2 linked regions of the Rhinolophus ferrumequinum genome follow. The protein of the gene in region 2 interacts with the protein of the main gene of each other region in a pairwise test. Links are inferred from orthologs where the notes say so. Each region holds a gene or a part of one and is shown on either strand. Other genes may lie near its edges. The genes, in order: KHK and LHX9.

Region 1 (15,169 bases), on a different chromosome or scaffold from region 2:
CCAAGATGAATAAACAAGGGGAAAAAGTTTTTTAAAAATGAATTACCAAGATGATACTTTGCTCCCCATCTGCCCTCTGCACACTCATCCCCAGGGCCCTCTTCTCTCTGAAGTCCCTTCCAGTCCAAACATGAGTCCTCTCATGCTACACCATGATGCCCAGCCAAAGTGGTGCTGCCTTGGCAGCCCTGCTCACTGTCCTCTCCTCGCACAGTGAGGCGAACCCTCCCGGGCAGTGAGCTGGCTCCCAGTGCCTGAGGCCCCTCCGCATGGGCATGGTCCAGGACTCTTGCCCAGAATCCCCTCCAATCAGAGCGAGCCCGGGGCAGCCCCTCAAGAAGACTACACCAGCAGGAGAACAAGGAAGCCAGGCCCATCCCTCCTGGCCGTCTCCGGAAATGCAGTGTCCTGTGCTCAACAGTTGGCACTTATGTCAGTCGACCAGCCATCATCTTGGCTTTTCTCACTAGGACTGGATCCCACTTATAGCAACACCAAAGCTGGACAATACAGATTTGTATAAAAGTGAAAAGACAATAACGCTGGGAAAATAAAAAAGCAGCTGTAAGAGAGGAAGACCAAACATGAGATGGACTGACTCCATAAAAGAAGCCACAGGCATGAGCCTACAGGAGCTGTTAGGGCAGGACATTGTGGACATCATTCATTCACAGGGTCACCAGGAGTAGAGGCTCAATGGCGTGTCACACACACACACACACACAAGTCGGGACATCGGTCCTTGTCTTACACTTCAAAGATCCTTTAAATAGTAGGTTCCCCATAGTCTGGAAAATACGGTTTGGTTTGCCAAATAACTTTCTGCACCCATAGTGCCTGGCACATGGCAGATGCTCATTAAATGTTTGTTGAACACAAGAGGAGAATTCGAAATGGCCCACTATCAGCATGATTGCTACATAAAGATGGGTCCACTACCTGAAGCAAGAGCCAGTCTCGCTTCTAGCTGGGAGGGAAGGCAGCTGCTGGAAAGGGTTAACAAGAGACCAGCTGTTGACTCCGGGACCTTCTGTTCCATCTCACAGGGCAGGCTCTCACCCCTTAATTCGCTCTGTTCCAGTTCATCAAGGAAGGTCATCTGGCTGTGGCTCGGGGGCAGGGCTCTGGCAGCAGCCTCCCTCCCCCTCCAAACCAGGGTTCAAAGGGCTTTGCTTCACAGGCCAGCAACCTGGCAGCCTACTCCAGTGCCCACAGTGGGCAAAGTGTAAGCCTCACCTCCTGATAAGTGCATGCTGAGTTGGCAGTGCCAGGGGGTCAAAGGGACCTTGGGTCCCTGCAGTAGCCAACAGAGTGTAAGTGTGTAAGCCACATACTGGCTGCAGCCTCACAGCAGATGAGCCGGGAGGCAGGGGTCTGGGCCCAGCTTTAGCACGTGGCTCCAGAGTATCCTTGGGCAGGGTGCTCTTGCTGCTTCAGGGAACAACTGGGACACGAGCACTGGCCCTGCCCTCTCAACTGGAAAAGAAACTGTAGGCCTGGACCCTCAGACCATGGATGCTGGACAACTCTCAGGGAGGGTGGGTCCACCATGTCCCTAATTGCCTTCTGCCTCAAGCACTGCTAGAATAAAGAACTTAAGAAGGGCAAAGTCACATCCACCTCAGAATCTGTTGGAAGCAAAGAAGGAGAAAGTGGGGAAGCTGGAGCAGGCTCCAGGGAGTGGACAGGGAAACAGGCTATACAGATGAAACTTTTCACAGGAGCAGTGTTAACGCCTGAACAGCAGATAAACCACACCAGGGAGGGTCTGGGATGCTGGTACTCCTCTCCGCCTCCTCCCACCCGTGTCTGGTGGCCACACACCTCTTCTTATAGCCCACCACCCAGGGGTAAGACTTTCTTCTCTCCCCACCCTGAAGGCAGGCCTCCCCTGCACCCTCCTCAACTCACTCAGCCACGTGGCCTGGGGCCAGCGAGCCCATGAAGGCACAGGGGGCTCCAAGCAGGGAGAGAACGGTACAGGAATTAGATGCGTTGCCTCCACGCTGCCATCTCTGGGACAAGCACCTGCAAAACACAAGGAGGGTCCCTGCAGTGCCAGCAGGCTGATCCCGAAATAAGCAGGGCTGATCACAGTGCCTGGGTAGGGGCCACAGAATGTAAAAGCTGGGAGAACTCCTTCTGAAAGCAGCCAGGCCAGTCTTCCCATTTTCTAGATGGGCAGCCTGACGCTAGGGAAGGACAGTGGCTTGGCTGAGGACCAGGTCTGTCTCTCCAATCCAGGCTAAATTCAAATGCACAGCAATGAATTTCTATCTTCCACCTATGCTTATGACATTAGGAAACCATTCACTCAGATCCGTCACAACTTGAGGGTTCCACTCCCTCTGGGTTACCTCCTCCTCAGTTACAATGGCCCGCTCTCCCCCAGGCACAGCTGGGACAGCCTTCTCCTGAGAGCTGGATAACTACAAGTGCTGCTTCCTTCCCAAAGGTGTCAAATCTACTATGTGTTCCTCTCTGAGAAGAGCTGTTTCAATAACAACTCAAGTTAAAATGAGTAAGACAGGAATCAAACCCACTGTGATCATTTAAGAAGTGAGGGTTGGGGGGTGCTAACTTTCACAATATCAAAAATTTTAAAAAGATTATTGGGTGAAGACCAGTTTTTCTCCATCGTTTTTTTTTTGGTTTGTTTCCTTTTATTTTTTATTTTTTAGCTTTATTGAAATATAATTGACATATAACATTCTGTAAGTTTAAGATGCACAACGTGATGATTTTATATACATCTATATTGCAAAATGATTACAATAAGGTTAGTTGACATGTCCATAACATCACATAGTTACCTTTCTTTTCTTTAGTTTTTCTCCATCTTTACTGAAAATCTAACAAGAGGAAACTAACTCAAGATACACCTGTATGACTTCATTGTAATCATCAACAAAAATGATAACTTATGCATACGTATCAAAGCACTTTAATGATATCTCATTTGTGCGCCAATAATACTGTGGGGTAAACAATGCAGGATGTTATTTCTATTCTCCCAGTGCCAAAAAGAATAATAATGATAACTTTGGCCGCTTACAATAAGAGGAACAAGTACCAAAGAGCCATTAATTAAGGGAAACAAATGAAGCAGAATTTTTAGACTAAAGTTTATTTGTACACAAAACTTAACCCTGGACTTCCGTTCAGGGAAAAGGGGACCATAATCTCATTAGAAAGACGGATACCAATTTGTAAAGGGGCAAACGTTTCTCAAGCTATGAGCTTTAGAGGAATTTTCATGCCGAGAGGAGGAGCCTGGAGGCATTTGACTTGCTCAAGGTCACACCAATAGTTAATGACAAAGCTACTATGAGAACCCAGGTTTCCTGACTCTTAAACCACTGTGGTGTCCTCTGTATTTCTGAAGAGAGAGTAGTCAGGCTCCAGCTTGAATGAGGTGTCAAAAAAAGGGTATAAATTGTACTATGTGGAAACCCTTCAAAATTACACTGATACCCAACTTCTGGGGCAGGAAGATTCTAATGAGCATGAGGATACTTTCTGGAAGGCTCTTCTCGGCCTGGACTCTGGGAGACAGGGCCATTTCTCAGGGGTCGGGCCAAGTACCAAGCGGCAGCTCCAGTGAGTCCCCAGTTTCCTGTGGAGCCTGGGACAAGTGGGGCTGAGATGGCTGAGGACTGGCCCCGCTCAGGCTTGCTCCTCTGTGCTGGGTGGGATGGGAGCACAGGAGAGAGGCCCTACACAACCCAAGTGCTCTGCAGAGGAGCAGAGCCAGGGGTCTGGGGGAGGGGAAAGTACACCTAAGGGCAGCTGTACTGAGAACATGGGCTGGCTCTGTTTAGAGAGGCACCGCACTGAGTGCCCACCTTCAGAACCAGCCCCAGTCAGGGTGGGAGCTAGCAGGATCTCCTCACCCTGGCCTCCTGACATAAGCTCAGAGGAACGGGGCTGTAGCTCTTGTCGAAAGAGGCACTCTGGGTCTTCCCCAGGCCCTCCCCAGTCCTTGGAGGACCTGTGGCCCTGAAATGTAGACTATTCTTCTGAGAGGACGCCTAACTCCTCACTGTGCAGGAGCGGGGGCTGGCCTGTGCCTCTCCCCTACTGGCCCCGGCACCCCTGGCAAGAGGCTCTAACCTCTGGCAAACAAAGCAGCCCAAAGCCAAGGGTGAGCTCCATGAGAAGGGCAGCAGAAATGGGATGGGGTCACGACAGACAACGGAGGGCTGGAGCGCTAAGCTTGGAGTTAGGAGGCTTGGGATGTGATGACTGCTCTGCCACTTGTGAACCACGTGGCCTTACAAAAATCATAATGTCTCTACATCTCCCTCAGCTATAAAGAAAGGATCTGATTGATCTTTACACACTTCCCATGTGTTGCTGTGAGGAAAGTATGTGGTAACACATATGACATTGCTGGATGATCCCAAAGCCTGAGGAACGCCCGGTCTCTCCCCTCTATTAGCCTCGTGGCTATCAGTGCTGTAATGTCTTGCTGAGCTCAGTCTTGAATTGGCCTTTTATCCAGAATAGCCAAGGAGCAATTCTTCTCAGTATTCTAAGCACTGGACTGCACCAAGAGAAAGGCCTGTATTTCACCCACAGAAATACCTTCTTGGGATTACAGTGTAACAGTGGGGTTCTTATCAAGAGTAAGAACCACCAAATGACTCTTCATCTTCTACCAGACAACTGAGAAGAACGTTTTTCACGACAGACTTTTCCTTTTATAAAAAGGACTTCCGGTAAGCTCCTTTTGGAATTTAGCACAGGGGAAAAGTCTGTAGTGACCAGCTCTGTCCATAACCCACAGCATCTCCAAAGTTGCCAGTGCCAGCGAGCCCTGAGCCACATGGTGAAGCTCAATACCACACCTTTAAATGTTCTTGAACAATCTTAACTGTACATACTTTTTATGGTAGGCTACCTCAATTATTTTAATAGATGAGATACATATGTACTAAATAAATGAGAAGTAAATGCTGGTGAGAGGCAAGTGCATAGGTCATGTTAAAAAAAAAATTGGCCCTACACTGTACTAATTGCATGCCCTTGGATAAATCACTTCGTCTCTCAAGAGTGTCTACTTGCTTATGGGTAAAATGGGGATAATCATACTTGACATAGTCCCAGGGATGAAATGAGAACTGGAGAACACAATGCTATCTGAAGTCTGGGCCTTTTTACTGAAGGCCTCACTTCTTTCCCCAGGTGTCGGGCAGAGGGCACGGGGCACGGGCTCCCGAGGTTGGTCTCTCACCGCCTTAATGCGGGGCCCCTGACTCCGTGGCCCTGTAGTGTTGGCTGCCAGGCACAAACACGGGGCTGCAGCAGGCCCTAGTCTCCGAGGGGCCCGGGTGCCCCTACCTGCTGTCCGTGTCCTCCTCCGGGTACTTGTCCACCACGTTGATGATGTCCAGCACCACCAGCCCCACGCACAGGATCTGCTTTTCTTCCATGAGGCCGCTCCTGGAGCTTTCTGCCCACCCGGCTGCAAAGATTCCTCCCGGTCTGGCTCTTATCCCTTAGGATTGTATTCTCTGCCCTGGCTCCGCCTCCGCGTCTCGAGCTCCTCCTCCAGGGAAGCCTCCTGCAGCGGCGGCGGGTGCAGTGGGGTGCAGAGAACCTCGCTCTCCACGTCCACCGATGCAAGCGGACGTGGGAGCGCAGACCCCGAGGTCCTGGCCACTGGCTCTCCTTAACAGGTTGTGTGGCCCAGCAGATGGCAACGCCTCCCACTTCTCGGCCTCAGCTTCCTCACTTGTCAGACGGAGGAGCGAAAGCACGGCTAGGCAATCTCATGAATGCAAAGAGAAAGTCCAGTAGAAAGGCGCCCCTAGCTCGCCCTTTCCTGCACGGGTGGCTCCCACGGCACACCCTAGACCCACTGAGTTGAGCGGACCTCGCAGCTGCAACCAGTTCCCGCAAGTCCAAGCAGTGGCTCGCGCGCCCGCTACTGCACAGCGGGGCCCAGACGCTCAGCCAATCCCAGTCCGAGGCCCCGCCTCCGCCGGGCAAGGAGAGCGGTGATGGTCACGTGACGGGAGACGGCGCCCAGCGACCCCTGGCGGACGCCGGCGGGACGGGCGTGACTGGGAGGAGGGTCTCACCTGGGTCTAGTGTGGCTCGCACGTCCGGTGCAAGTGCTGGCAGAGCCTCGCAGCGCAGAGCGGAGGGCGCGAGGCGGGGTCCGGAACCGGGGCTCCCCCATCCTGTCCCTTGTGTACTCCTATCTATACCTGAACATACTGAAGCAGACGGGGTGTTTTGTTTTGTTTTTTATAAAAACCAAGTGTCTTTATTCCTGAATAGTTTAGTATGGCGGTGGGGTACTCTCCCGAAACACCCTCGGGAGAGCCCTGAAACCCAGGGAATCAGCCTAGAGGCCAGTTGGGGGAGTAAAGAGGGCCATGATCGGCTCTTCCACAGTCCGAGTCCTGCAGGGGACAGCGATCAGGCCAAAAGTCTGGACGAGGGGCTCCGGAAACCCCAACCCGACGCACTCCGTTCGTGGGGAGGACGCTGCTCTGGATGCCAGTGCCGCGGCGGGTCCCGAGACGGCGACTCGCCCGGGGCTGGGGTGCCCGGGATCGCCGCCCCCGCTGGCTCTTTGGCCGGCCTAGACTCCGGGCAGGTCGGCCCAACCCCCAGTCTACTTCTGTTCTAGTTCCAGGTCCCCGTAGAGCAGGGCTCCGCTGAAGATGGTGAGTGGCTCCTCCGAATGCGCCAGCTGCCCCATGACTAGATCGATGCAGACCGTGTCCCCGGCCTGCAGCGGCAGGATGAGGCTGAAGACACCCAGGGCGCCGGGGCTGGGCTGGCTCTCAGCCACAGGCTTATTCTCCAGGCCCTCAGGCTCGTAGCCACCGGAGTCTATGCGGGCCACGCCCAGGTTGGAGCGGGACAGCACAGCCTCCACTTTCTCGTGCCGGTGCCCAGTAAGCACTGCGCTCAGCAAGTAGCGGCCGGGCAGTGGCGCTGTGAACACGCCTGGGGACAAGGATAGCAGTCAGGAGGACAGACAGGTGGCAGAGCCCCTGAAGGCTTCCCGACCCAGAACTCTTGGACTAGGGAGGGACCTGCTGGGTCTTTTCATCTCTCTTCCACCAGACTGTAAGCTCCACGAGGGCAGGGGATTGCGTGTTTTGTTCATCACCGCATCCCCTGCGCTCACAATAGTGGCCTGGGCAAGAGCCAGACCCAGTAAAGAGCTGTTGAACCAATGGCTCCTCCCGTCCCCACCCCAGTGCTCGGCCCAAGCTGTGGTGAGAACGAATAAATGAAGGAAAGAACAGGCTCTCCCCAAACCAGAGCATGAAGAGTTTCACCTTGTCTGAAGGGGCAAGAATGAGAGCACGTCACTGCATAGCCTCCCTGCCGCTCCCGCCTGCTTCCCCGCAGTGCCCAGCCAGCCTTCTCCCAGGCTTACCGGTCTCTGGATCGTAGTAGTCCCCATCGTTGAGCAGGACTCTGTCAAAGGGCACTGTGCCTGGTTCAGACCTGGGCAAACTCAGGGCAGCTGAAAAAGCCACCCGGGGCACAGAGACTGCTGGTGCCCCCTCCACTCCTGGGTGGGGGTAGGGTGGGTGTCAGAGTGGATGCTCAGTGCAGAGCTGCCTAGCCCCCTTCTCCTCCTGGGTCTCTACCCTCAAGACCACCTGAGGCCTTCCATCCTCCAACCCCTAGTTCAGTTCCCCTCCCCCCAGCATCACATGAGAACTTACCCTGTTCACCTTGGGGACCTGTGGGAAGAGGAAAGGGAGCAGTGAGAAGAGAAGTACAGCAGCTCTCACTAAGTCACTTGGCAAACATCTGCTGAGTGTGCGCTGCTGTGCTAGGTGCTATGCAGACTTCAAAGCAGGAAAGGGGTACTAAGAAAAGGAGGGATAGGTCCACTCTGTTCAACTGTTAGGCCATACCTCTTTAGCCCCTAGCTTTTCACATGCAACACAGGCCTTGTAGACTCAACCTTGGTCTTCAGTACAGCAGTGAGGCCGCCATATCCAATTAGCCAACACAGCTCCTAGTCATTTTCCTCGTCACTACCAGCCATCTAGAACTCCCAATTCCTTGCCCCTTTCCCCCCTTCCCTGTCAAGTTCAGAGTAGAATGTCAAGCCTGGGGCTAATCGGGGGGCATGGGGAGTGGTAACCCGGCTGCAGCAAGAATCTCAGCCCACATACCTGGTGGTCCGATGGGCCCCTTTTGTCCATCATTGCCAGGAAGTCCTGGAGGTCCAGCAGGGCCTGGAGGTCCCTGTACTCCAGGAGGCCCTGGGGGTCCAGCCTCACCTGCAGGCCCTACAGCGACAAACACAAGTTGAAGGAGAGCCACATGAGGAATTCCCAAAGGACAAAGAGGGTTGTGGCTCCATTGACAAGTTGATGGGACCCATCGCTGCCCGTGCTGGATACCTGGCAGGCAGAGCAGCACCCCACCTCCACCCACAGGCCTGTCCGAGCTGCCAGGGGAGGGCTGGGAGCTGGGACCTTGGAAGATCTCTTGTGGATAAACCAACCCTGGGACAGTGTTGGGTCTGCGATTTTTGCTGGGCAGAGCAAGGAGAAAGTGGATGAGGTGAAACCTGGGCCGTTGTGGGGGCCGGGGAAGGACTTGAAAGGGATACCCCCACCACCCCAGGTCTTCTCTTGCCCCCTCACCAGTGAGGTCCTTCAGGCTGAGCTGGTGAAGTCGGTCCTCCAGGAGCAGCAGGGAGGTGTTCAGGGCACTGAGCCGCTTGCCCAGGCCCGCCTGCCCCCCCAGCAGCTTCTCCAGCAGCGCTGCCTGTGTCTGGCTGGTGCTGTTGGTTTCCCGTAGCCCGGCCCAGAGCCCAGCCACGTGTCTGGAAAGGCCTTCGCGTAGGCCCTGCAGTCCGCCAGCCACTGTGTCCAACCGCTCACAGACTCCCTCCAGACGGCCCAATCGCCCCTCTAGGCTGGGGCACTGGCCAGCCTGTGCCTGTCCCTCTTCCAGGCCTCGGAAGCGCTCCTCACTCTCCGTAACATGCTCTGTGGCCTCCTGCTGCAGCCTGTTAATCTCAGAGATGATGCGGTCTTTGGTGGCTCCCAGGTCAGCCAGATCAGCTCCCTGGCCCTCCACGGTGGTCTGGAGCTCATGCAATGAGTCATTGAGGGAGCTGAAGGTGAGAATAACCTCGGAGAGCTCTCCTTGCAGGGCCTGTAGGGCTGAGCCTGAGTTGCCCCCAAACACACTGAAGCCATCCAGAGGCCCACGGCTTGGCCCCCCAACACCCGGGCCGGCCCCAGGGCCCCGTGGGGGTAGTAGGGGGCAAGAGCAGCGCTCCACACCATCCCGAAGACGACCCAGTTCCTCTTGGACACCACCGCAGGCCCCACAGCCCTCATCCCCACGGGCCTGCAGCAGACCCTCCAGCTGGCCCAGCCGTGCAGCTGTGAGATTCAGCTGAAGCGTGAACTCTGCAGCTATCTCATCCTGCGCATCGACACGACCCTGGAGCTGGCCTATGACCCCTTGTAGTCCCTCCAGTGCAGCCTGCTGGGCCTCCCCAGCTGCTCCCACCTTGTGCAGGCCTGAGCCTACCAGTCGCAGCTGCGCCTCACTGTCCAGCACCCTGCGCTCCAAGTCACTGAGGATCTTGCTGATCTGGGAGTCCTGCTCCCCTGGAGCCCCAGAGCAGAGCTGCCCACAAGCGTGCACAGCCCCTGCCAGCTGCTCTTCCAGCAGGTCTAGCCGCCCACCCAGCTCCCCACTCACATTGGCCAGGAGCCCCTCCAGCTTCTCTAGCCGGCCCCGGGCAGCAGGCAGCCAATGGCTCAGTCCCCCAGGATGCCCAGGCCAGCTCTCTTCCTGCTCCGAAGGACCCAGGGTGGAGTTGAATCGGTCCTCTAGGCGAGAGAGGCGGGATGCTAAGCTGATGTAGCCTGGGGGGTGACCCCCCTGCCCTGCCGCTCCTTCCAGCTCGGTGCCTCGACGCCCGCTCAACACTGTCACCGAGCCAGCCACGACCTCTAGCCTCCGCTCCAGCTCTGCCAATCGGCGGCCCAGCTCTGGTGGGCAGCATTCCTGAGGTGGCCTGCGGCCCAGGATCTGCCCTGTGAGCTGCCGCTGCCCCTCCTCCACAGAGGCCAGTAGCTTCTCCAGTGCTCGAAGCCGCTCCCTGTCCTCTTGCTGCTGCCGGCGGAAGCCATCCAGTCCCGTCAAGCACACAGAGCAGGACTCCTGCAGCCGCTGCTCCAGCTCCTGTAGCAGCTCCTCGCTGTGGCCAGGAGTTGGTGGGACTGGGTCCAGGGCCCTGCCGCCACTGCTACCACCACCACTGTGATGGTTGTTGAGATGGCCCAGCTCCTGGTCATGGGTGGAGACGCGATTGTCTAGGAGCTGCAGCTGCTGCTGGATCTCATGGAGGGTTTCGTGGACCCCAGGGCGAGCAGCTGCATCTGCTGGCTGCTGCCTCCCATTAAAGGCCGTCTCCACAGCCCGCTGCACATCTTCAGCCAGGCGCCCACTCAGTCCTTGCAGGACACCGCGAAGACCCTGCAGTTCCTTTGTCAGGCTCTGTACCTGCTCCTCCAGCTGCTGTACCTTCTCTGACTCCCCAGGACCTGGCAGAGAAGGGAAGGCATAAGGCTGGACCTCAGAGCTCAGTGCCTACCTCCTAGGTCCAGCTCCCCAGTTCCAACAGGTCAGAGGTCCTAGCTGATCTGGCCACCCCTTTCCTGGGTGATTTGGGCAAGAAAAGATGGAAGAAAACTCCCATTCACTAAATGCCTCTAGGACAAACCTTTCCCCCTTACAACTCCATTGGGCAGCTGTCATCAACTCTTCCCATTTTGCAGATTGAGAAATCAAGGACCAGAGAGACTAAGTAATTGGGTTGTGGATTACAAGTGTAATACATCGCAGGGCCAAGTTTCAAACTCAAGTCATCCACTGGACCACCGAGCCCATGTCCTTCCCACTGTCCAGAGGGCCTCTTTACTCTATGGAAACTGTGTCCTCATCTGTGAAATAGGTATGACACTAGGTTGCTCCCTCAGAACAAATGAAATGGGAATGTAGGGGAGGCAGTGTGGACTGCATGACAGTGGCTATTCCTGAACAGCACCTCTCTGCAACACCACGGGACAAACAAGGTTCCGTGGCAAGCCTGCGGGGGCTCTGGCTGGATGCGGGGAGAGTTGGCCAGAAGTTCCTGTTTCTATAATTACATCATGGTTATCTCTCTGGCAGGCAAACACAGCACATCCGCAGCGCCCAGCACACACATGGGAAAGCAACAGGAACTGCTGCATTCTGGGACCTGCCGTCTCCAGAGGCCACCGAGAGGCCTGGGACCTGTAGTCGGTTGCAGTGCATGCTAGGACTTGTAGTCTCAACTGTCTACCCCTTTGGACCAAGCTTCTCGAAGGAATTCCCCCTTCCTCCCGCAGCTGTTCCCAACTAGGAAGTATGTTGGCCACATGTGGGCGTGCGTGAGCACATTCACTTTCTCTGCCTTTTTCTCTTGGTCTCTTAATCTGTTACACACACACACACACACACACACACACACGCACGCAGGCACGCACGCGTGCGCGCATGTATGCACGGACAGGGAATCTCAGGGATCTCATTAACTCCCTTCTGCCCCTGTTTTTCTGACTTGGAGCATGGGGTTTTCCCTCAACATCCTGACCACATTTTCCACCCAATCCCATCTCCCACTTCTCTCCCCAGGGCTCCCATACTCACCTTCCCCCCCTAGTCCACTCAGGTGGCTGCCCGCACTGGAACCTGAGAGGTTGGGGCGGCCGGGCCGGGGCCGGGGGCGTGGTGTGGTCGGTGCAGGACCCAGCGCTGGGGCAGGACTCTCGGCACAGGCATCACCCCCGTACCCCTGACAGCACCTCCACTCCATATCCGTCACTGTTTTGTAGGCCACGCGGTAGCGAGGGCGGAGGAAGCTGCGGTACCTGGGAGAGGTAGAGGGAGGGCTCTTTACTCTTCCCTGTACGGTCAGTGACCCTGGCCCCTGTCCTCAGAGATGGGCAGCTGCTGGTGGGCAAGACCTGTCCCTCAGGCTGGGCCACCCTTACTGTCCAGCATGCGGCCTGGCTCCATTGACAGCTGTCAGCTTGCTGGCCAAGGGCCAAATCCCTATTCTTTCTCCCCTTGTGCTGTGCTGGAACCTTGAACTCCTCTCCTTGAGCATGACCCAGCAAGGAGATGGCATTCGGGGGCTGGCAGGGTAGTCTTGGTAAGTGTGTCCTCAATATCCCACCAAAATGTTGCCTCGGCATCTTCTCAAAATGGCTCCGACTGAAACCCCTGGTCCTGCCCCTTGCCACAATTACCTGCTTTGTACAAATTCCCTGAGTTGGCTGGTCGCCTTCCGTCCTAGCCCAGCCCCCTCCAACTACCCATTCCCCAGCGCCGGGGCTCACATCATGCTGCGGTGACACTGGGGCTGGCCCCAGCCACAGGCCGGGATCTCGCGCTTGATGAAGGTCTCCACTCCATCCTCAAGGACACAGCTCACTGTCCGAGTCACCACGTAGGCACACCAGTTCCTGCAGGCACAACCTCACCTGGGCCCGAGGGCCAGAGACACACGCCCCAGAGCAGGGCACTGAGGCTACCAGAAGGGCTGAGGGAGGGTCAAAAGATGAAGGGCCCCTGGGGACCAGTGGGAGCCAGGGCATTGGCCGGGGCAGCTCCCCCCACGCCTTCCTGTACGGGACGGAGTCAATAAAGACTTTTCAAGACAGGAGAAGAGGCACAGAATGGAAAACCACAACTACAAAAAGTTGATACATGGCTGGGGAGGGGGTCCTGGAGAGGCTCTGAATTCACACATTCATTCGTTTCGCTGTCTGAATCCCCAGCTTGGCGTGGCCTGTATGAGCCGGCTGGCGGGGGCCCTCTGGTGATTCTTTGGATGCTGGCTTCCACCCGCCCCGCAGGGGAGAGGACTGGGCAGGCAGGGGTCCAGCTCAAGGTTAAGCAGAGAATAAGCCATTGATGAGCCCTGTCCCCCATGGGGTTTGCAGTTCTGCACTCTTGGCCCCATTCATGCTGGCCTCTGATCTGTGTCCGGCTGGAGACCCGAAGGGAGCAGAGCAGGAGTGGTGTTAAAATCATGGATTACTAGATGGGCCGAGGAAGCCCTACACAGAAATAAAAGGTCTGCCCGAGGATCCCAGGCTGGCACACAGCTGGCCGGAAGGCCTGGCCCACGTCCCTCAGGGTAGTTTCCCTGGGCACCTAACGGCACGTCCCATGGGGAGGACGTGAGAGCCGATCCTATGAGGTTTGATGGGACCCATCTATGCAGGGGGGCCCTGGAAACACCCGGCAGGAAGGTGGGCGTGTGAGGAGCCATCTGATGGATGGGTTTCCTCTCCCGTTCTTCCCTGCATTGGCGATACAGCCCAGGAGAGGGTAGCCAAAGTGGGGCAGGGCCAGGATACCCACCTTCTGACCCACCCTCCCACCTACCTCCAGCGTAGGGCTGGGACCCAGATTCTTACCTGTGGCGGCTGGCAGGCCGGGGGGCACTCTGGGCCTGGGGCCCACCAGGGCTGAGGGCCCCGCCATTCCCCATGTAGAGGCTGTAACCACGAGGAGGGTAGCTAGCTGCCGCCACAGCTGTGGTCAGCAGGCAGCAGAGATAGCAGCTCCAGAGGTTCCTGGGGGCCATGGTGGGGGTGCTCCGCTGTGGCCCTCAGAGGCACATCCCGCCTGACCACTGGCGCCTCTGCTTGGAGTGGGGATGCCCGCTGCTCCAAGTTGGGTCCTGTCCCCAGCTTCCTGCTGGCAGCCCCCAGCCACTCGCCTCCTCCTTGGCCTCCTGGCCTGACCTCTCTCCCCCTCCTCTTTCCTCCTCAGGCTCCCGTCTGTTCTTCCCTTCGTTCCTTCCGCTCTCCTCTTCTCCACCTCTGAGGGGAGTTTGTTCTCAGTGCCCCCGGCCTCCTGTGCCTGGTCCCTGCCCCTCTCAGATGCTGCTTCCTGGGCCTCCGCCCCCTTGCCCCAGCTGGCCCTCCTCTGGTCCCCTATCTGTTTTCCCCAATGACCGGATCCTGGGGGTGACAGGACTTTACCCCTGTGGCTGTCCAGAGGCGCTAGAGTGGCTGTGTGGGGCGGGCCCTGGCCTCCCGCCTCTCTCTCTTGCTTACTCCCCTCCCTTCCCCCCTGTCTGGCTGGCGGTCCAGCCTCCCCCTTCCTCCCCCCACCTCTCCAACCATCGTGCGCCACATCTGCTTCTTGTTAACTCCGGGAAAAAGAGGGGAAAAAAAAAAGGAAAAACAGAGAAATGTGGAGTTGCCGCCGGGCTTAGGGCCAGCCTCTCAGACGGGCCACATGGAGCAGAGCCGGGGCCAGGGCTGGGGAGGAGGCCCAGGGCTGGCTGCTTAGACGGGGAACCGGGGAACAGGAGCTGGAGCCACAGCTCTCCTGGGGCTAGGGCAGGCCTCCCCTGGGATAGACCTGAGAGAGGGGCCTGGAGGGGACAGGAGGAGGGAGGACTGTAATAGGAGAACAGGCTTGGAGGGCTCCGCAGGACATCACTCACAACCAGTCCAGCTCTCTCCTTTTTATAGATATGAAAATTGAGGCCCAGAGAAGGAGAGTAACTTGTTCAAGGTAACACAGCAGATCAACAGCAGGGCTGAGACTAGAATCTAAATACCTAGGTCATGACTTGAGAGAAAGAAGGCGGATAGGAGAGAGGGCTACTGGGTCAAGTAGAAGGAAAAGGACTCCACTGAGGCAGGCAGGAAATTCAGAGACGCCAGAAAAGGAAGAAAGGAATCTGGAGAAGGGGGAGCAGAGGAGGGAGCCTTTTAAAAGGCCAAATGAATATGGGTCCCAGGCTTGTCTTAGTGAGTGTCAGGCCTTAAGTTGGGGAGGGGAGGGAGGTATCTATATAGAAAATAGGGCCCTATCTATATAGAAAAGGAAGTCACTCCCTAGCCTGAAGGCAAGTCTGATAACCTCCGTAGCAGGCAAGGAACTCAGTCAAACTCAACCATCGGCCTGACCCGACAGCTCTTCCTGAGATGTCTGAATCTGTCAGCTGCCCCTCTTCACCACCTGGCCCTCAGCGTTGTGTTCTGGACCAGGTCTCCCTGTGTGGTGAGATGCTTGCTTGTGAGAATGAAGTGGAAGTACTAGATGAGAGCGCTGTGTGCCAAGCACTATGGAGGCACCCAGGTAGCACAGGCAACTGTAAGAC
Region 2 (15,151 bases):
CCCGTGCTCTGCGATGTCCACACTTGGTGCTCATGGTAAGGGAGTGGGATTGCCACCAGGAGCTCCCCAAGGTCCCTTCCAACAGACTGGACTCCCCTAGTCTGACTCTTCTGCCCGCCACCGAGGGTCCCCGCCAGGGCCAGGGAAGTCAGAGCAGCAAAGCCAGTCCTTAGGCTCCCCAACGTTGGCCTGGAGCTTCGGGGACCGCTTTTCCCAGGGCTGGGGCTCATAAGAAGAGCGTCCCTCCTGCTCAGAATTGTGGTCCTCACCGTCCCCTCCTGGAAGGTGGAGGGTGCGGGCAGGCTACCGACAACAGGAAATGGGTGGGTGAGAGAGACTGACCCTGATAGGTATGTGCCCAAAGCGAGAAAGAGGGTGCTCTGTGGCCTGGTCCCTGCATTGTGCTTTTAAGGAAATGAGAAGGTAGGTGAAGGACCGAAAGGCAGCCCGAGACACCAGGAAGCTCCTCGGGGCGCCTGACCTGGAGGTTCTCTGTCTTCCGCCGGCTGGGTGCCTGCTGGTTCACCACCCGGGAAAGGAGCTGGTAAGCCCAGTGCCCTGACTCCGGGAAGGCGCGGGCCAGCTCAGCTGCGCACACTGACGGCCACCCCGCCAGCTGCCTCTCGCCAAGATCAGGGGTTTGGTTTCTCAACACTTGCCAACTGTGTTCCTGATTAGCCACAGCCTGTGCCCCTCTAGACAGACTGGGCTTGGGCTCTGAAGATTTCTTTTTCTTTTTTTTCTGTTTTTTTTCTTTCAGTAGGAAAGCCTTCTCCAGGATCTATAATGTGGCTTCCACACAGGAATTGCCCTGGGGCTGTTTTGCTCCAACTGGGAGCCAGAAACTAATGGGCTCGTTAACTAAGGGGCACCGCGGACTTGGCTCCGCCGGGTGGGGAAGTCATCACAGGCCTATGGTAATGGATGTGCCTCTCGCCACAACCTAAATAAAGGTCTCTCTCTCTCTCTCTCTCTCTCTCTCTCTCTCTCTCTCTCTCCCCCTCGCCCCCCCACCCCTGCTTTTCTCCCCCTCCCCCTCTCCCCCTCCTCTCCTCCTCCATCTTTCCCTCCCTTCTGCGTGAAAGGGACTAGTAGTGGCAGGATGGGCCTACTAAGCAAAGCACCCTCTTGGAACCCCATCTTGGGCCGGAAGGAGCTCAAGTGGAATCGTCTCGAGGTAGCAGAGTCCGGGGCTGAAGCGGGTGGTGGTGGGCACCCACCTGAGTTGTAACTGACGAGGTCCACTCCCAGCGCTGGGCTCTTCCGTTTCCGGGGCCGCCCCTTCTGCACGGTGCCCGTGCCATTGAAGTAAGGCAGGGCCAAGCCTCCGCTCTTGGCCGCCAGCTCGGTGTAGCTCAGCTGCGGTGGGTACTCCCCTTGCAAGAGGGTCTCGAAGTGGGCGCGACAGTACACCAGGCTGTCCTTCATGCCAAAATGGTCGCCCGTGGTCAGGGTCTTGTTGCAGGTGGAGCAGGTGAAACAGCTCAGGTGGTAGACAGAGTCTCGGGCGCGCATGACCATCTCGGAGGCGGAGATGCCAAGGTGGCAGCGGGCACATCTCTGCACAGAGAACCTTCTGGAAGGAAACAGTTGAGTCAGGCGCTGGTTGAGGCAAGGCAGGGCCATCTCCCTCCCGCTACACCTGGGGCTTGGTCAGCGGTGGCCCAAGCCTGAGAGGGAAGGAGGGAAGGAGAGGACGGGGCGACTTTGGCGTTCATTTCACTCGTTCATTGACCTGTTCTAGGCAACGGGACAAAGAACTCTTACATTAAAATCGGAAGAACTGAGTGACTAATCCTCAGTGTCCTTCTCTGTATAATGGAAATTAAAAGCAACAACAACAAATACAAAAAAAAACTGCACTGGCTAACTCCCAGGGCTACGGAAAGAATACTGAACCGCGATGCAAGTGAAAACATTTCATCGATTACAAACATTCTGTGAAGGAAGGGTGGTGTTTTTTATGGGTGTGTGAGTGTGCGGAAAGCATGCAGGCAGACACAGCCCCGGACAACGACAATTTTGCAGGGGACAGCGCATTCTTTTCTAGCCGCCTTGCTCGCTCGCTGCGCGCAGAGCTAGGTCACCTGCACAGCACCGCTGGGAAGAGTCAATAAACGCGCCTGCCGGGCGCTGTGGAGTCTGGCGGCCGGTTCTCAGCTGCGGCAACGGGGACTCGGAGCTGAAGGGTTTGGCTTTCGGCAACGGCCATCCTTTGTTTCCATGGTCATTTCCACGGTCTCCCGCCACCCCTCGCGAAAACCTAACACCCAGCGGCTCCTACCCGGGCCACCAGTTCACTACCAAGGCGCGGACCTTGCCCAGTTCGTAGTAAACGGAAAAAAGCCGCTTTCGTCTCGGAGGACCGGAACACACTCATTCAGTCTTCCACGATTTCCCGGTTCCCTCCGAGAGTTGCGAGGGGCCGCGAGCGCGCGCTGTTCACCGAATACGCTCCGGACCCCGGGTCGCCCCACCCATCCTCACCGGCCGTCTGGGGGGCAGCAGCTTGAAGGCGTGTGCAGTGGACTTCCCTGGCCTGGGGGCTGATGACTGCTCCCCGAAGGGGCAAAAGCCGGGGCCGAGCGAGGCTCGGGCAGATGGCCGTGCCAGGTGTAGCGGGGCGCCAGGGACAGGGGCGGGGATACCTGTAGTAATCCTCCTTGCAGTAAATGCTGCCGTCCTTGGCGAAGCAGGTGAGCTCGGACTCGAGGGCCAGCTTACATTCACAGCACTTCAGGCATCTCAGGTGCCACTGTTTGTCCACGGCCAGCAGGTAGTACCTGTCCGAGATCTTGCCCCCGCAGCCGGCGCACAGGGCGGGCTTCTCCGGGCTCAGCGGAGGCATGCCCTGTAAGGAAGGCAAGCACACCGCACGCTGAGGAGGACGCGGGGCCGCAGGACGCGGGGTCCCGGGGCAGCCGAGCCGGGGGTCAGGGGCCAGTGTGCCAAGGTCAACACCGGGAAGCGTTTGCAAAGTTCCCTTTGCGCTCACTCCCTTTCTACGCCGTCCGCCGCAGCCCACGTTCCGTCCTCCCCGGACGGGTCCCCTAAGGAACAGGACAGGCCGGCCACCTCGAACCTCTTTTTAAAAGGGCTGGGAGCGCAGGGACGATAGTTTGGCGCATGTTTCCAAACTCGAAAAATCACAAGCTAAAAAGTGTGGCTTTCAAGGCATACAACATCAAACAAGGGAAATTGTTATTGGGGAATGGAAAGGAAGTTTGAGCGAGCACGGTTGTTTTTAAACAAACACGATAACAATTCTGTTTCTCTAAATTCCTGTGAACAGCCTTGACATTGAGAGAAATGGCTAGATTTTTATGCCTGTGCTCAGAGGTAGGGCTCCATTGTTTTGATCGGGATATATTTGTCAGGTCTTGCTTTCGCTAATTTTCAAGGATACTGGTTCTCCTCCTAGCCAGGGTGTTTAGTGCCTGTTCCCAGGGAGGGTCCGTTGTCCCGTGCCCTTTGGACAGTGCCTCTTTCCCTGGCTTCCACATATCTTGGAGATCTTTGTCCTGAAAATTTGTTTGGTGCCCAAATTCAGCTTCCCTCCTGCGTCCCCACCCAGGCGTCCAGGAACGGGAAATCTCACCTGGACAAGCCCAGCCAGCCCCTTCGCAAAATTCGGGGTGCTGCTTTTTGTTTTTAAGCAGGATGACTACAAAAGGGGAGGGGGAAGAAGCTAACCGCTGGACTTTTATTTCCCTGCAAACCGGCAGAAATGGGTTGGACGAAACTTTGGCGGGCCTGGAAAGGGAAAGTATTGCCCTTGACTCAGATCAGACCAGGGACGTGCGCGGAATTCGTGTTTTAAACGTAGAAACACCCACGAACTCGGCTCCTTGGTGGACCCAGAGCACGGGCAGGTGGGCCCAGAGCAGTGCCCCGGGTTGGTCTGAGCTACAGTTCCCGGTGGGATGCCTAAGGATCCCCACAGCTCGGTCGCACTGAAATCATTTCCGGAGGCTTTTGTAGTTTTTTCCCCTCCTGCTCGTAAGTGGGAAACTCGTAGATTATTAATTGAGTTTTTATGAAGCAGACATGCCTCTTGTTATTATGAATAGTAGTGACGGTGGTAGTGCATTACATCGTTTAAGGGTTAGCACTTTCTCGCGCTCCGGCCAAGGACCCCGCTCCTCCGGCTTTTTATTAGATTTCCCTGCACATGACACGCGTCCCGCCCGGGAGCTGAGCGCAGTCCTGACTCGCTAGACGGGCCGAAGGCGGCTGCCAGAGACCCGGAAAATCGCTGGGTTTGGGGGTGCCGGACTCCGAGCGTCTGGAGAAGTGGAGGTGGCTCAGACATTTCCAGTCCACTCCAAAGGTCCGGTCGTCAGACCCGAGACCAGAGCCACAGGGCTCCCGCCTGGCCCGGACGCCTGGGCCGCGCGCAGTCCGCCCACCGCCCGCGCCCAGCTCGCGCTTCGGGCCGTGATACTCGCCGGGGAAGCGCCCGGGAGCCCAGGGGACCCGAAACCGAGTCTGAGGTCGGCAGAAGAGGAGGTCCCCATCCTCTCGCTCCCGGCTCGCTCATCTCTCCGGGGAACAGCTGCGGCAGAGGGTGGAGAGCGCGGGGTCTCAGTAGTGGAGACATTTCAAGGCAGAGAGGTGCCCGGTTCTAAGCCCCATTGACAAGGTGACGGGAGAAAACCCACCCGCCAGTCTGGAGCGGATGTCCCCACGACCCGCCATCCTCTGTGGGCCGCCAGGAACCGGGATTCGGCTTCCAGAGCGCGCAGGGCGCCGGCCCCGCCTGGGGCCCTCCTTACCGCGTCGCGGCCGTTGAGCTGGGCGCCTTTGGCCAGGCGGGCCTCGGTCTTGGATCTGCGCTCCATCTCCTCCATAATGCCTTGGATGTGGCCTCCCGAGATCCCGTGGAAGAGCATGGCTGGGGGGCGGAAAGGACACGCGTCGTCTTCTGCTCGGCACCCCACTATTTCCATATACACGCGCCCTGGGCTCTCAGCTCATCCGAGGGAAGGAGCAGAAGCGACCGCAAAGGCTGCGCGGTGCAGGAGCGCGGAGACGCTCGGGGACACAGGGCAAGAGGGAGACAGGGAAGAAGAAAGAGGCAGACAGGGTGGAAGGTGGTCTGCTTGGAAAAGAAGGAGAAAAAGAAGGGGGATAAACCGCCCCAGCGGCTCCCTGAAAGAGACGTGCAGAAAACAAACAAACACTGGCGGAGCGGAAGGGAGACGAAGAAGACGAATCTTAACGGCTCCGAGAGATCGAGTTACTAATGAGAAACAACTGCAGCGGGAGGTGGGGCAGGGGGGGACAAAATCTGTGCAGAAAGAAAATAGTTTTGAACACAAAGAAAGAAAAAGAAGTGCTATTTTCGGCGGTCCCTGGCTGCTTGCAAGTTCCCAGCGCCTGTAGGTTGGGTTGGGGACTGCTCCTGCCGGAGCTGTGTCCAATTTGTTAAGAGACTAAAGCCAGCCCATTTTTGATAATTTAGTAGGAGGAGTTCTCTCCCAGGAGCTGCCACCGATTTTTATTCAGACAACAAAGACCTGTCATACTCCTCTCAACCCCCTGGTGATGGGCAAGCGGGGACAAACATTACAAAGGGGGGGCGCGGGGGGAGGTAGTGGGTGGGGGCATTTACTTCCCCCCCCCACAGCGTGCGCGCGTGCGCGCGCGTACACACACACACACACACACACACACACACACACACCCTTCCTAGAGTTCCCAGCAATCCCGTTTTAAAAGAGCCGTTATTGCCCCCCCCACCCCCCGCCCTGGTGCTGGAAGCAGCCAACCGGCCTATTTGGTCCAAGTTCAGGATCAGACCTGGCTCAAGGCAAACAGAACAGCCAGCTTCAAATTTTGGGTTTCTCTTGTGTGGACTTTCTGGACCCCAGCTTACTGGGACCCCAAATGACTAAATATTGGAGAGACAAGCCTTCCCTCCCTCACCCCTCTTCCTCAGCTCATGTTTTAAAAACAGGTCTCCTCACCTCCCCAGAGGGGTGCGGACCTTGCCAGGGGCCAGTGAGTCCCTCAAAGTGAGAAGGGGCTAGGAGAGCCTATGTTTCTGGAGTTTACATTCGGGCAAAAATGATTTTCTTTGAAAGGTGAGTGTAGAGAACAGGGGCGTGGCCTGCTTGCAGGCGTGAGTCTGCAACTGAACGCGGCCTTGGGGTGCTGCATTCTCTTACCAAGTTCAGGTCGAAGGGAACGTGCTGGTGAGTCTAGTGTCCCCTTTAGAGCTTGTCAATGTGGGCAGCGACTCGGGGACTCCGTGAGCTCGGTCCATGCCTTACTGCTTTCTGTTCCCACTGCCCTGGCAGGACAGGGGATTTGAAAAACGGGACATTTAGGAGGATGTGAAAGGGACTCCTCGCTGTGGAGGAAGGGAAGGTGAGATCTGACATGCAGAACAGCAGACCTGTACCCCACAAGAGGCCAGACTGTTCTGTCTCCCTCTGTTCCCGTTAGCGGCAGCCTCTCCTCGGCCCTATAAAAAAGTGTCCACAATACTATGAGATTGTCGATTCATTCAAACCACTAGAAGTCCCCCAGAGGCCTGAAGCAGGAGTGGCAGGAACCAACCCAGCTTTAACCCGACCGGAGGAAGCCCAGGCTGATCCGTGCCCCTTTCCTCCCTCTTGCCTGCCTGTCCCACCGCTCCCCACGACTTTCCAGGGAACAGTGGGGTCAAGTCCTGACACGTCCTGGTACTTCAGGGAGTCCCCTGGTGGCAGACTCGCTTCCCTCTTCGGAAACCTACAAGGAATGCACTCAAATCTAGAAAGAAAAAGGGAGAGGGAGAGGAGGAAGGGAAGGAAGAAGGAAAGAAGGAAGGAAGAGGGAAAAGAGAAGAAAGAATGAGAATGGGGTGAAGAAGAAAGGAAGGACATGAGCCAGGAGAAGGAAGGCAGGCAAGCAGGTAAGAATAGAGGGAGGGAGGGAAATACCACCGTGCAGCAGCCTGACTTCCTGTCCTAAAGCATCGTTTTCTGAAGCTGCTGGAGTCACCTCTTGCGTGAAACCCAAGACTCCATGCTTCTCCTTGCTCTTTTCTCAGGGTCAAAAATGATGTTATTTGCAGACGGGGCGCTATTGCAATCCTCAGGGTATCAGAATGCAGCTCGTAAAACACAATTTCACACAGAAATTAAGCCAATCAAGTGGACTAAGTTGGAGACCGCCCCCCCCACTCCCCCCCCCCTCACTTTGGAAGCCCTACCAGACAACTGGAAGGCTGTTTACTGTAAGTAAATGTAATCAGCCCCTTTGTATGGAAATCAATGAGCTTGGCAAACCCACGTGCACAACGAAGGGCCCCAAGGAGGGGCTGGGACAGCCACCTTCCTAAGACAGCAGGTCCTGTCACCAGAGCAGGTCGCCTCCCACAAATCAGCAGCTAAATGGACACAGATCCCCGAGCAGGAGGAGAAAGCAGGAGTCTCAGAGACGAGCATCCGTTCACCCAAGGAGGCTCCGAGGAAAAAGAAAAGATGGGACCTCAATCCAGGGACCCGCTTTCTCTAGTTTATGAGCAAAACTCTTGCCCCGCCCCCTCCAAATGGGGGTTGGAATTCACTTTGGCTGTTGCTGGAATTTTGGTCCTTCTCGGCGAAAAAAGCGAAGAACTCGTTCTTTGCTTGCAAGAGATGAAACTTTGGAGATTCCATGAAATGAAAGTTTAACCAACAACTCCAGGAAAAAGTCAGAACTTTGTGACAAGTCTCCAGGGCAGCCAAGGGCAGAAGTCCTGTCAGCCCTTCATTCATTCATTCATTCATTCATGCATTCATTCATTCCGCTCCTCTGTTCCACGCATATGTGTTAACTATCTATCAGATACCGGTAGAGCAGGGCGCCTACTGGGTTGCCTCCTTTTTCCTATAAACGTCGGGTTATAAGTTCCTGCACCCGGTGGGATTGGCCACTCCCATAAAGAAGCGAACTGCAGGACTCCTCCTCAGACGGCGCAGGAAGTTTGCAGAACGCTAGGGGTGGGGCAGGGGGGCTGCCGGAGTTTGGGAGGTCCTTGTTCGGTCTACGGAAATTGCAACCCAGCTTCCTCCTACAGTTCCTCAAAGAGGAAGAGTGGGGTGGAAGAGGATGCTGGAGAATTGGGTGCGTGACCTGGGGCGTCTCGGAGCTCTGGAAATTTACCTAAGAGGGCCCCTCCTCGCTCTCCCTCACTCTCAAAGGACAGTAAGCACTATAAGGAGAGTTCTTTGTGGCTCTGCCTTCTTTCACCTCTCACGTGGAGGGGCTGGGCTCGGCGGCCCGCAGAATGGTCGGCGAGTGCCATAAAAGCCATCCGCCCTGCCCGAAGCCCGGAACACCGTCTGGAGTCTCCTTTCTGAACTCGGGGCTCCGTTCGGAGCAACGGGGCCGAACCCGTCCAGAGATGCCCTCCCGCACAGCTGGGCACACGCCATCCTCTCCTCTTTCTGCTCCACCAGTCCCCCGTCGGCTGGACTCTGGCGGGGCACAGGAGCGGACTGAGGGTTCAAGGTGCTGGATTCTCCACCAGGGCGAGGGCGGTACCCAACTCCCCAGAGGGAAGGGGAGGGAAAGGAGAGAGGATGCATGGCTTTCCCCAGGGGCAGCAGAGACGCTGGGCTCCAGAGAGGAAAATAACCCAGCAGATCTGCGTCTCCGAAGATCGTAAGCGGCTCGAGGTCTCTTTAGACCTGAATTTTGGAGGCCAAGATCCTGTGCCCCCGGCTTTGCCCTTCAAAGGGCAGAGGTCACCTTTCCTTCTGACCCTAGTAAGCTGGTTAAGGAGCCCCCTTGGTCTCGAGGTGCAGCTGCTCAAGCAGTATTCGGCTTTGGGCACTGTCGTGAGAACCCTAGGGCCCGGGAGTCAGTGCCTTCGGGTGGGTGGGAACCGCTCACCGAGTGCGGCGCCACCCAGCCCTGGGCGCCGGGCTACGCTGCGCGAGCGGGGAGCCAATGGCCAGGAGGCGCCGGGCTTTTCTCCAGTCGGTGGACAGAGGGATCTCAATGTGCCAAACTCTCCACCAGCGAGGGTGGCAGGTTAAGCCTGGCGCTGCCTCACGGGCGCGCCTGATTCAGTCCCACTAGGAAGGCCTCGGAATCCAAGGGGAGTGGGCCGGAGGCTCGGATGTGCCGAGGGTACCCGGACCGCGCTGCGTGTGCTCCTGACCACGCACCCTCTCCGCGCCCGCAAAGCCTCCGCCGGCCGCCTGCTCCCTTCACACCCCTGTCTTCCACAGACCCGGTTCTTCTCCAAAAGGGGATGGCCGCCGAGTCCAGCACAGCGCGCTTCTGCAATCTGCAGGCCCTTTACCTGACATTTGCAGCGCCGCCCCAGGAATAACCGACCTGTCCCGCACCGCGTCCGCTGAAACGGCGGAGTGAACAAAAGCAACGTGGGTGAAGCCGCTTTGCAGCGAAGCCCTGCCCGGGTGACAGCGCTGTCTGCACCGTCCCTTACCCCTTCCCAGAAGGAGATGCCCGGCAGCTCCACCGAGGGTCGGAGCGCAGCCCTCCGCGCCACCGACTACTCGCGGCTCAGGGGCACCGTGACCTCCGCCCCCACCTCCATCCAGCGCTAAGGCAGACCCTCAAGAGAAAGGCTGAAGCAGGGACACACGGCTTTCAGGAAGCCTGCTTGGAGACTCTTACTGACACTGTGTATTTTAGAGCCTATGCAGCGCAGGGTAATTTCTAAGACAAATACACACGCCTCTTCCTTCCTCCCAGTGACGGCGCGCACACGCGTGTGCACACACACACTCACACACATGATATGCACACTGGCCCAAGGAAAAAGGCAGCTAAAACGAGAAGGCCCCGGGCACTTAACTCACCTGCCTCTAGAGTGGTACCGGTCAGCATCCTCGGAGCCCAAGGTGCGGCTCACGCCGCGATGGTGGCTGTCCTGCAGACAAGAGCTGCGCGTCAGCGGGCGTGGCGGCGGGGACCCCGCGCGCCTCCTCCCACCCGAGGGTTGTCGGAACCGCTCCCCCGCTATGACCTCAGGTGCCAGCGGCCGTGCGTGCAGCGGGTCCACCCTGCCCCCCACCCGGGTCCGCGCGCGCCCAGGACAGAAATCTGCTCGGGCCAGGCAGAGCCCATCGGGTCTTACCTTGAGGTCCAGACGTCCGCCTAAGACTCTGGTGTCCCGCGAGGTGGCAGCGGGAGGTGTGGGCCGGTCCTCAGGCCTTGCCGAGGGTCCTCTGTTAATCCAAATAAATAAACCATTGGATGGGAACCTCTTCTCTCTCTCTCTCTTTTTCTCTCTCTCTCTCACCCGAATCCCTCACCTCTGACCCTCAGATCCCTCCACCTGTCTTTTATTTTCTGTATATGCTTCCAGCGCGGGAGGAGGGGAGCGCAGAGAGTATCCCCTGGCCGGTGCCGGGAGACGCGCTCCGTCCCGCCCTCGCAGCCTCTCAATAATCCGGGGAGGTGTTAATGGAGGCCTCACGGTTACTGAACCTCATAAAGCCGCAGCATTTTGAGGCTTGGGCGCCGCGGGAGGCTGGAGTCTCGCAGTGCGCCCTGGGCTCCGGTCCCCATCCGGCCGTGGCCTTCCCGTGCTCCCTCCCACCCAGAAGATGCGGTCGCCAGCGGGAGCCTGCATAGACGGCGAGGGGCGGTAGCTCGCGCGGGGAGCTGGGCCAAGCCCTGGATTGCTCACCGCACATTCGCCCGCCCCTCCCGGTCCTTCCTCACTCTCCGCACTCCAGGGCGGGGCGCGGGAACCTGGCACTTTGGGGTGCGCTTGGCGTTCCAGCGGGGCGTTGTCAGCGGGTCAGAGCGCCTGCGGGAGGTCTCTCTCCCGCCTGGCCCGGCAAGGAGGCGGGGATGGCGATTAACCTTCCAGGGGAGAACCGACTGTAGTCCTGGGAGACGAGCCTTTCGGGGATGAGGACAGACTCCCAGACCCGGGACAGGAGGGGGCCCTGTTACCTGGTCTCAGGTCCCTGAGGGCCTGGGTAGCCCCAGCAGCCCCGGGAGCAATCAGGCCGCGGGGAAGCGACGGAGAACCAGGAAGCCCGGCCTCTGGGCAATGATTGCCCCACTCCCCCACCCGGTGCGCCCCTTGCAGCCAGAGATGGGCGTGGCGGGGAATCACCGCTGGGGCAGGGGACGTGAGCAGCGAGATTGGCCGCTGCGGGATGCAGGTCTGGAGGACAGTGCCACTCTCCGTACCCGCCCCTCTTCGCTGTCCCCCCGGTGGCTCCTCGGCGGTGCGTGCGCTCAGGGCGCTGTGGGCTGGGGGCGCCCGCGCGCCTGGGAAACAGTGTGCGATGCGGGGCACGTGCGGCTGGGCAGGGGTGGATGCCCCTCTTCGCCGAGCTTGCCAGCTCCGCCGCCGCACAGTTTAGGGGTGGCAACGGGTCCCGCAAGAGCCCCTAATCCAAGCCCTCCGACTTTCCCCATCCCAAATCCCGAATGAGGCTCAGAGCACCCGGGACAGAGCCCCTCTCTGTACCCGCACACGTGGCTTCACCAGGCAGTGCCATCGGCCAGCTAGTCCACCAGTCCACCTTCTAAGTTCCCCTCGTCCCGCCGTTCCCTTCCCATCCCGGCCTCCTTAGCCTTTTCTCTCCCCGAGAAGCCCCCAATCTCCGTCCGTTTTCGCAGCCAGGGAGGCGACAAGCCTTCCCGGTTCAGCTTCTATGTTCGCTGGCGAGGCTATTGGATGGATGGATGGATGGATGGATGGCAACACCCACCCGAAAACGCTGAGGTGCTCTCAAGCACCCCTGTCCAAAGCAGCGGTTTTTATCCTCTTTGGGTGACGAACCGTTTTAGGTCTGTGGTAAAAACATGCATTCTACAGACACACGCGCGCGCGCACAGAGGTGCGCGCACTGAACCACACACCCCTCACATTTTAGAATACAAATTTTGGGTGAGAAGATGCGGTCGTCAGGAATTTCCCAATCCCCTAGAGCCATGGTTCCCAGTTTTTGCACTTTTACACCCAGAGTCTCAGGAAGGGGGGCCGCGAGTCTGGAGGTTTTGTGTCTTGAGCCCAACCATAAAACCCTTAGTGGGGACGAGTTCCGCCCAGCGCCGGGCGCTCCCGCACAGAGCAGGGCATCCAGAGGGCCTGGGCGTCCCAGGAACCACGCAATCCCAGGGCAAAGAGAGCTGCTGCGGGTTCTTCCACAGCCTTTTCTAGAAATCAAGGTCTCCACAGAGGCGCGCAAGAGGGTGCTGACAACCCCCCCCCCCAAACACACACACACACACTTCAATATGCCCTTCTTTTTTTCCTGAGCGGAGGGGATAGTTTGGGCAGAAGTACTGTTTAATTGCTGCCGGGAAGTGAAAAACTGCACGGAGTCTTAAATCCTCCACCACGGTGGGCAGATGTCCAGTTCACACACCAAGCCTTTGATCAAATGTGAAGATTGCCGCATGGCAGGTGTCGGCATGGAGTGTGTATGTGGTTACTTCTGAGCCACCAGTGACCCTGCGGCTCTAGGTGCTCCTAGGAAGGCAGACTGCTGCTCGCCTGGCAGTGAGCCCCTGCACTAGCCTCGTCCTGGCGCCTGGAAGTGGAACCGCGCATGCGAGTGCCTTAGGATAAGGGGCCCTGCGGAGGAACAAAGACCCAAGCCGGGCCGAGGGGCATCTCCCCTTCTGGGGGACCCTTAGGTTCCAAACACAACCATTTTGGAGCCCAAAGTTTCATGGGGGTGGGGAAAACCCTTCCCTTTCTTGCTCCGCAAAACAGATGGGGCCAGTGTGGCTTCTGGAGAGAGGGAATGTGCACGTAATCCACAGGAAGGAAAGAGCCACTGAGGCTGGAATCTATTCCTACCCTCCATCCCAGTAAACCTCACGAGATTCTGCAGCTTCCTTTGGGTCTTTCCGTGTTAGAAACAATGTAGAATCAATGTCCCTTGATTTATGGACTCTTGGGGCAGGAGTACCCAGAAACCTTGAAAGTGGAGAAGCACCAGAGTAGATTTAGACCGGGAAGTCTCGACTTCTCTGCACACACGTGTGTGTTTGGATACACACAGCCAGTAAGAAACCCGAATTGTACTTTACAATGTGGGAATACAATGTAGCTTGAAGCTCTTGCGGTGAGGCCCATTTATATGGCCATGTTGTGTTTAATGTGGGAGCACCATCCATGCCGCCACCCTTGACGTGTGTGTGTATGGTTCACAAGCATCACCACAGAACCACAGAGAACTTCAGACCTTGGCTCCCAGCTCCAGATGGAGGAAAGAGGGAGAGCTGCCCCATCCCACCCCACCCCACTTGTGACTCTTCCTTTGCTGTTGTGGCCAGGAAGAGTCACAAGTCCCACATAAGGTCCTCCATGGTGGACATCCGGGTCCTTGCTTCTTGGGACAGTTCCCCACTGCAGAAGTAGGCGTCCCATAAGTTATTTCCATAGCCAAGGGGCTTTCTCAAAACAGTGCCTCACATTCATTTTCAAAAGGAATGCCCTTTTCTTTCTCTTGTTTCTCTGGAAAGATGGCCCTTTTAGACTCCATTTCTTTCTCTTATCCCTCTTGGGACTACTGAAGGAAGCCCCATCCAGCCCGCACACAGAAAATGGCCTTGGTCATCTTCACATCTCGTGGAAAACATGGAGCTAGCAGGCAGCTCCTTGACCTAGCAATGGAAAGGACATTGGCTCCCAGGAGTTCCTAAGCCTTTTGAGAAAGACCAACTGCCTCCTCCATCACAATGCTGACCCTTCTCCAGTTCTCCTCAACACAATTTCCGGAGAGGGAATCACCTGGCCACAGAGAATGTTCTTTTACATCCTAGGAGCTATCCACACCTCACAGGATCCAGGGACTGTGCTGCTTAGGGCACCACAGTTGAGCACCACCAACTTGGGGAAACAATGTAATACTATGTAATACTTGACCTAAAATGAACAATAGAAGTCACCATCCATGGGACTATTAGAACCTCACTGGGGTTCTTTCCACTTATTTTACAGTTTAGAAGGGCTTTTGTTTTGAATTGAACGTGGGAGAAGGCACCAGAGCCTTTCAATTCCTTACGATCTTTAAAACACTTCCTGGGGCCACAAGCAGAGACCAAAGCAGACCCCGGGGATGTTCAAGAAGCTTTCAGTTTCCGGCAGGAGAACAGGCTGAGGATCCATTCTGGGTATAGCCAGCCTTCCAAGTGGGCAGCAGCCTTTTTGTTCGGAACAGTTTCCATGGGCAAGAAAAGGCTTGCTTGGGGCTACTGTTCCCAGAGAGAGCAGAGAAAAACAATCTCTGTGGGCTCCTAGCCCAGGTCAGACACTGAAGCCCAGGGCTTTCATAGCAGAGAACGAATGCTATGGTTGTAAAGCTAACAAACTGTTCTAAGAGAGGTCCACCCAGGAAATGGCGTAACAAACAGAGGAGTGAAATGTGTGTGGGGGTGGGGAGAATGGTTTAATCAAGGCGTCTTACACGGCCTGACCCCCAGTCAGAATGATTTAAAGTTTTCATTGAGAGAACAGATGGAAGGTGAGAGCGGCTCTTGACACAGAGTGCTACTTCCTGGACGCTCAGATGCTGCACCAGATAGCATTCTATCAACCTCCTTGTAGCTCAAGATATAAATAAAAGGAAGAACATCTTCAAACTCTTCTATTTGCCAGCAACTTCAGTTGGGTCGCTAACACTGAGGAGAAAACAGTAGGAGTACTGAGGCTACGAGAAAATCAACAGCTACTAATGTCACCCGGTCGCTACTATTTATTTAATGGAACAGTCATTATTTTCTTTCTTCAACATATGTGTCTGATAATGAAGCAAAAAGGAAAAAAAGAAAGAAAAAAGAGGAAAATAACTATCAGTGCGCCACCTTAGAAAAACACAAACATTTGCCAGCTTTTTTCACTTTATTGATGTTCTTTTAATATATGTACTTCAGGTCAAGTTAGTGCTCAGACACCAACAGCCCAGAGAGCAAACCCTGAATTAGCCTGTTTGTTTGTTTTTTAGGTAAGGTTCAATTAGATGGAGAACAGAGATGAAATTGTTGTCAAACATAAAAATAGGAATTGAATTGCTTCTTTTTAGACGGATCTTTAACATTGACTTGACCATATGGACACTGCAGAAGAAATAAAACAAATGATTACGGAATTACTTAACAATCATCTCGGGAAAGTACACCACTTCTCATGATGGAAAAAAGAGACTGCTGATCATGTTATAAAGATCAT

What was found.
Region 1: the proteins of LHX9 (region 2) and KHK interact in binary tests that used the Homo sapiens proteins (3 or more experiments, as listed by UniProt). The two-hybrid records come from large-scale screens. The link is inferred for Rhinolophus ferrumequinum from reciprocal best matches to the Homo sapiens genes LHX9 and KHK.

What each region holds. Positions count from the first base shown.
Region 1 is NC_046296.1:53,555,661-53,570,829, forward strand, and holds the start of KHK (ketohexokinase), read right to left. Parts: upstream 6,104-15,169; 5' UTR 5,436-6,103; coding exon 5,344-5,435; intron 2,029-5,343; coding exon 1,912-2,028; intron 1-1,911. Other genes in the region: EMILIN1 (EMILIN-1), read right to left, coding at 6,629-6,966, 7,406-7,543, 7,701-7,718, 8,160-8,276, 8,637-10,559, 11,689-11,909, 12,381-12,506, 13,467-13,636. UniProt on the Homo sapiens protein: Catalyzes the phosphorylation of the ketose sugar fructose to fructose-1-phosphate.
Region 2 is NC_046310.1:2,813,153-2,828,303, forward strand, and holds the start of LHX9 (LIM/homeobox protein Lhx9), read right to left. Parts: upstream 5,386-15,151; 5' UTR 4,950-5,385; coding exon 4,776-4,949; intron 2,852-4,775; coding exon 2,649-2,851; intron 1,577-2,648; coding exon 1,221-1,576; intron 1-1,220. Other genes in the region: C27H1orf53 (uncharacterized protein C1orf53 homolog), read right to left, coding at 14,968-15,039. UniProt on the Homo sapiens protein: Involved in gonadal development.